2 linked regions of the Macaca fascicularis genome follow. The protein of the gene in region 2 binds, or shares a complex with, the protein of the main gene of each other region. Links are inferred from orthologs where the notes say so. Each region holds a gene or a part of one and is shown on either strand. Other genes may lie near its edges.

Region 1 (3,221 bases), on a different chromosome or scaffold from region 2:
ATTTAGCACAAGCCATGTTATGCAGTAAGTACTTATAAGTGTTTACAGTGACGACTTCACAAGAGCTTAGCTGTAAAAGTTTGGGAAGTCAGGTTTTTCTAGTTGGCTTGGAAGACCATGTTAGTTGTCAGACAAGCCAGGGATTTTGAGTTACCCCAATTCTTGAGGGGAAGGAAGTAGAGTGGAAGAGGATCCAAAATTACTAATAGTCCTTCATGTGAGCTAGATTTTTGATATCTGTTGGTTTCGTGGAAAATCCAAACCTAATGTCATTTATTGAAATTCACCCTCTCGTGGATGGTCCAGTACTGAATTGAGTTATGTAAAATATCATTTGTGGAGTGATATTCATTTGTATACCTTTTCAGTTCAAAACAAAGTCAAAAGTCTCTCTCTCTCTTTCTCTCTCTCTCTCTCACACACACACATACACACACACACACACACACATACACACACACAGCCTTAACCCTGGCCACCTCTCTATTATTTCTGGAATCCCATATTCTATAAAACTATTTTAGTTTCTAACAAATGTCTTGGTCTTTATGATGGTCACCACCATGAAACACAGTTACTTTACACTTTCTTGCATTATTCATCAATATTCCCCGAGTAAAATTACTTGTTACACTTTTCCCATTTAAATTTGCATTGGGTAAGTGAGAGACATCTCCACAGATTGCTCAATTTTAGGAAAATAACCATTCCCCAGAAACACAAACGAGTCAAATCAAGATAGTTACCAGGAGCAATTCTTTATATTATCCAGTTGCACAACACACTTCTTGAATAAATGACATATCCTAATTTAGGATACATCACCAGATTCAAGTCAGAGAGTATCCTCTGCCAGTCAATAAGAGTGCGGGTCACTGGAAGATCCCTTCGTAGAATTTTTCTCAGGGCTTCATTGGATAACTCCTGTAATTCTTCCAAGACTGCAGCTTGAAATTTGTTCTCTTGCTCTTCCACAAGCCTTGCAAAACTTAGAGCCAGTTGAGCTTGGTTAACTATTTCCAAGCTTTCTTTCAGGTCCTTGGATATTTCAATATGAAGGTTGACACACCTGAAGAAGTGAGCTTGCACAAATATTCTTCCTGTTACTTGGGTTAGAAATGGGTTAACTTGGAAAATCCATTTAGATTTCCAAAGTCCATTCCAGCACTCTCCTGTTTCATAGTTGTGATCTTCAATGCAAGCTATCAAGTACTCCTTACTTTTGACAGTTTTCCTCAGCACGTTGCAATTTCCTTTTGGATAGTGGTCATTCACATACAGTTTTAAGGCGCACAGAACAACAACTCTCAGATATTCTGTCTCATTCCGAATGATACCGTGACTTTGGATGTCTTTCAGCTGATTTTGAAGCAGGTCATATCTGAAAGAAAGTTTGCTTTGATGGTCAAAAAATCGGTAGTCGCCCATTACATTGTGGTGAGACAAGAGTACTGGATTTCCATCGATGCAGAGTGGTACAGAATATTTTTGGCAGTGTTGGTGGCCTGCACACTCACCTTGATGGTGCATAAGTTTTTCATCACGGATAAGCAGACAGAGATCATCAAAGGCATTTACAAATTCCCCTGGAGGTGCCTGTAATAACAGTCTGCGAATTACTCTTTCCTTGTCCTTCCTGCTGAGCACGCTAAGTGTCATGTTTGGTTGCAACAGAAGCAAAGCTTCTGAAATGAAGAGTGTTCAAAGGATAAGAAAACATTCCATGAGACACCTTTCCCATCAAGGTGTTAACATTGAAGCTGAAGGTTATTGTGTCTACCCATGAAAGCAGGCAGTCTAGGAAGGTCTGAGCCTCCTGATGAGGTCATAAGAAGCTTTCCTTGTGAAGTGTGGAACCTCTGATGATTTCACAATGGGTATTCAGACCAAAAGGAAAAAATGACAGTCACCTGACAGTGTGGTGCCCAGCCAACCAGCTATACCTATTTTGAAGATTTTAAGAACTTAGCCTCCTGAACAGTCTTCTTCGAAAGTGGTGTGTCTCTGTGTGCATTATATGTTGTCAGGGATCTAGAGAAGCAGCCCAAAGTTTCAAGAGTGACAGCACTTTGCAACTTCAGGAATCACAATGGTGTTGATTTATACTCAGGCTCTCAGAGCAGCCACCCAAACCCACTGGAAGCACATTACATTGTGATGAAAGCTTCGAGGGGTTTAAACAAAATAGTAAAAAATAAAATGAGATACAATGGCAGTTCATGGAAATATGCCGGACATCAGGGAAAGCTGCATTTTCAAATATTGTGGGTTTGGAGATGGTCAGAATGTAAGAAGCCAAACAGTTTCAAGGGCAGGGTAGTGCAGGTACTACATCTTGCTTACTGTTTCTACGGTGAAGTGTGAGCTACCTTCAAAGAACAAAGGCGACAAACCACTGTGTGTTCTCTGCTTTCTCCCTAGAAAAGTGGTAACAGCTGAGGAGTATCAAGAAATTATTTTCTGCAAAGGGGCAGAGTTAATTGTATTTGGAACCCGTAACAGCACCTATTGGGGAAAGACTTCTAAGTGAGGAGAAACGGCTCTACAGGTCATGAAACTATGGAAATGAAATATCCATTGAGAGCTTCTTTCTGCCCCTCTTCTTTCTCCTCATTATCCTCTTTACTTGATGCTGTTATTCTTTTCGAAGAGTTCTGAATTTAAATCCTCTTCATTTAAGCTGAACTGCTTGTTCGATGTCTGTTCTGAGCTTTTCTAACTTTCCTTACATTCTGGTATCTTTTTCTTACAAGAAAATGAGCTTTATTTATTCTATTAAGTCATAACTATTAAATTTAAGGAGATCTCAATACATTTTAACAATCTGAAACTGAGTAGTTTTGCACAATTTTTACCTATATCTTTTATAATTTTGGTGATAATTGTCATTATCTCATTTCGATCTTAGTTTTTCAAATGGAAGTGTCCTAACTTTTGTAGTTTATCTATGATAAGTAAGCTTTAAAAAAATTTTTTTTTGTTTTCTCTTTCATACCAAATATACACTTACCATGGTATTTTTGATGCTTTTTGATGGTACTTAAAATGTTACTGTCTTGAGTGTGTGTATAGCTGGGCATTTGACTAATGTAGTAATAATAACTTTATCAGTCATGGTTACTATTTATTGAACACTAAGTAGCAGAAACCGTGTTCAGTGACATATTAGGAATTCATCTAATGCTGCCACCTTCCTTAAGATTCAGGGTTAATATGATCAC
Region 2 (3,822 bases):
GTATTGTGGGCTAATTTTCAGATTTCCTTTTTTAAAAAACAATGATGTTCCTGCAGTAAGTTTTAAAATTGTGGGTAAAAGAATAGTAACCCCGCAAGGAGGTCACAATTGAGCTTGCATTTTTACCTCCCCTGGCTCCAGCATTTGAAACTTTAGATCTGGTCACTGTGGCCTGCCAAGGAGAAGCTGCCTGTAGTGGGAGCCAGGCCACGGGGTGGGACGTTGGAGTGGAAACGGCCAGTTCCACCCTATAAAACTTTAATGCGGTTGTTTTATTTTTCTGGAAGAAACGGAACGCTCAGGGATGGGACTGAGGGGAAGCAGCCGTGGGCCACCTGGTGCTTTTGAACTGGTCGCCGGAGGGTGTCGACAGTGTCAGGCCATCGGGATTTCTCCTGGTTCCCCTCCAGGGCAGCCTGACCTGCCTCTCCCCAGTGTCCCAGCACACAGAGGAGAGCAAGCCTTGGGCGGGCACAGCACCGCAGCTCTGTGTGGATCTGTGAAGGAGCGGAAGGATGAAATGCCCCTGGGCTGCAAGCCTTCTTTCCAGAATGGCCAAAGGAAAGAAGGAATTATTGGCCCATCCTTTTTGCCAGCAAAGTAGGGTTTTTTTGTTTGTTTTTCTTCCCCCTCTTTTGATGTGGGGCTGCTCTCCCTATAAGCTGGCTGAAAGAGAAAACCGTGTGCTAGAACCAAGCCATCTGTCGCCAACAGGAAGGGTATTAGCAGGTCTGTTCTGAGTTGCTCTTCTCTCGGTAGTGTTCGTGTGCCTCGTAAGTTAACCTGCAAGAATCCAGGAGAATAAGCCAGAAAGGCTCACGGAGCCCATGCTGCCAGTCATCTGAGCCCTGCTAAACCTCAGGTCTAGCAGGGGCAGTCAGTCCCTCTCCAGGTGTTCTGGGAACATTCCAGAATGGCCTGATCTCTCCAACTCTGTATGGGGCCGGTCCAGACCAGGAGGGCCCTATGGAGGCAGATGGGGCCTTGGGCCCTGGACCAAAACACTCATCTGCTTAGCTCGCCTTGCCCCAAGAAGGGAGAGTTTGGAGACAGACTGGAATAAAGGAAATGATCTTCTGGAGTGGGGTCTCTGAGTGCCAGTATTGGCCGGTGTCCTGGACATCACCTCTGCCAGCAGTGAGCGCTGAGCCCCACAGGTGTGTCTGTTCATCCAGTGGTCCTTTTCCTCTAGAAGGAAAGGATGCCTGTGCTACACCTTGCCAGAGCCAGGCCCTTCCCCACCCTGTGCAGTTTGACCAGTGATGAGCTCAGCATCTGGCACCTGACACATCCATCCCACAGGTGTTCCCTGAGTGGCACTTGTGTTAGCCAGGCAGCCCTGCCCTCATATGCCCTCCTGCAGACTCGCCTGTGGGCGCACCATGGTGTATTCGGTTTGATAGCTTAATCACAGTGGTTAGTGCCACAGAGGGAACGGGACAGAATGTGGTCCTGCCGCAGGGGCTGGCTGCAGCCTGCCTGAGGGAGCCCTCGGGGCGGGGCCAAGGGTAGCCCACCTGAGTTATCAGCCCTCCTGGATGCTCCACAGGTCTGAGGGTTGGAGTGAGGGCAGACCAGCCAGGGCACCCTCATTCTCCTGGGAGGATGCTTTGCTTCCTTGGTCTGATGGTCTCTTAGTTACATTACACTCTGGTGTATTCGCGTACTGATTTTTCACAAAAGCTTTTTAGTCTGGAACAGTATGACTTACTGTCAAATTGCAAAAAAAAAAAAAAAAAAAAAAAGTACAGAGAATTCTTGTATACCCATCACCCACATTCTGTAAATATTCACATTTACCGTGTGTATTTTTTATTATAGAATAGCTTTGGTGAGACATAATCTACAGATACATGTTAATTTCTAGTACTTAATTTTACATTAACCGTTTGGTAGGTGTCTACTTTTCCTAATTGTTTGTCTCTCAACAGCCATAGAAAGTAGATTAAGTCCCTAAAGTCCATGTTCACGCCACTGGTCCCTTAGTAAACAGTTGGACGCATGCATGCGTGAGCATAGCTCATAGCTGGGGCTGGGCGTGCTAGAGCTGTCATTGGGTCCGTCTGACTCCCAAGCCTGGGCCCACCTTCCCAGCTGTCCGGGGCTGAGGGCGGTGTGCTCCCAGAATACGCCTGCCGCACCAGGGCTTTGGGGCTTAATAGGGGTCAGAGAGGCCCCAGACTTCCTGATAAAGATGTGCTCACCATGAGAGATGCGATTGCTTACAGTTTCACTGGTTATCAGCAGAGATGAGATTTCTCTTTTTGGGGCTTAATTGGGGTCGGAGAGGCTACAGATTTCGCCACAAGAAATGAGATTTCGCTGGTTATCACCAGCATTTGCAGTTCCCATCAGCTGACTCCACCCCTCACCTCTGCTCACGGCAGCCCCAGCGAGCCACAGTAGTTGACCTGGGTCTGTTGGGTTTGGGATCCCAGACTGATTCCCATTTCTCATCTAACCTTTTCATTCCCTCTGCCATTTGATCGTAATTAGAAATCCCTCTTCCATTTGATCATAATTAGAAATGTTTCTGGGCCAGATGCAGTGGATCACTTGAGGTCAGGAGATCGAGACCAGCCTGGCCAACATGGCGAAACCCCATCTCTACTGAAAATACAGAAATTAGCCGGGCGCAGTGGTGCACACCTGTAATCCCAGCTACTCAGGAGGCTGAGGCAGGAGAATCGTTTGAACCTGGGAGGTGGAGGTTGCAGTGAGCCGAGATGGTGCCACTGTACTCTGGCCTGGGAGACAGTAAGACTTCATCTCAAAAAAAAAAAAAAAAAGAGAGAGAGAGATGTTTTTGTATTGACTCGGATTTGAGGAGGAAGCACTGTCTCAAGCTGAGCCCTTCATTTCCGGCTAGCGCTTTGTAGGAAGTTGCTCCGAAAGACCAGCTGGAGCCCTGGTCAGGAGGGATCAGCGTGTAGGGAGTTTGTTGCTGTATTTTCTCATCTGCCTTGTAACCCAAAAGACAGAAATATCGAACAACCGTGGTCACTCCAGTAGTCATAGCCTGCATGGATTGTCACTGGATGTCACTCGTGCTGCGTTCTTTATCTGGGAGGAATGTGACGCCTAGAGAGGTCCAGTAAACCAAAGACCACAAAGCTAAGGGAGGTGGCAGAGCCCAAACTCAAGTTCATCTTTATGATGCCTAAACCTACTACACCCCCAAAAATGCTGCACCCTCTCCCCGAGCCAGAGAACGATCAGAACACACCCAAGGATCGGCTCCTATAACTGTTGCAGGGAGGACCCCAAATCCCAGAATCTTTGCTGAGCAACAGCCTGGGACCCAGGCTGATGATCTGTCCTTTAGCATCTAACAGGCACATTGGCCTGTTTCCTGCAGGTATTTTGAAGGCGGCGTCTCATCTGTCTACCTCTGGGATCTGGATCATGGCTTTGCTGGAGTGATCCTCATAAAGAAGGCTGGAGATGGATCAAAGAAGATCAAAGGCTGCTGGGATTCCATCCACGTGGTAGAAGTGCAGGTACTGCCTCCCAGCAACTGGTGGCCGGGGCCACTAAGTACAGAATCACACCAAACAGTGCCGCGCTGCTCTCTAGCAGATGCAGTGAGGGGGATGCTATGATCTCTGAACCCCTCATTCTGAGAAATGCCTCCAAGCCATTTGGATAAAGATAAGTCAAGATTGCAGTAGTCGCCAGGCGCGGTGGCTCAAGCCTGTAATCCCAGCACTTTGGGAGGCTGAGACGGGTGGATCACGAGGTCAGGAGATCGAGACCATCCTGGCGAACACCGTGAAACCCCGTCTCTACTAAAAAATACAAAAAACTAGCTGGACGAGGTGG

What was found.
Region 1: CAPZB (region 2) and CAPZA3 share a complex: the UniProt entries of both Homo sapiens proteins name them as parts of the WASH complex. The link is inferred for Macaca fascicularis from reciprocal best matches to the Homo sapiens genes CAPZB and CAPZA3.

What each region holds. Positions count from the first base shown.
Region 1 is NC_088385.1:21,536,858-21,540,078, reverse strand, and holds CAPZA3 (F-actin-capping protein subunit alpha-3), read right to left. Parts: upstream 1,964-3,221; 5' UTR 1,660-1,963; coding exon 760-1,659; 3' UTR 747-759; downstream 1-746. UniProt on the Homo sapiens protein: F-actin-capping proteins bind in a Ca(2+)-independent manner to the fast growing ends of actin filaments (barbed end) thereby blocking the exchange of subunits at these ends.
Region 2 is NC_088375.1:215,725,853-215,729,674, forward strand, and holds part of CAPZB (F-actin-capping protein subunit beta), read left to right. Parts: intron 1-3,358; coding exon 3,359-3,500; intron 3,501-3,822. UniProt on the Homo sapiens protein: F-actin-capping proteins bind in a Ca(2+)-independent manner to the fast growing ends of actin filaments (barbed end) thereby blocking the exchange of subunits at these ends.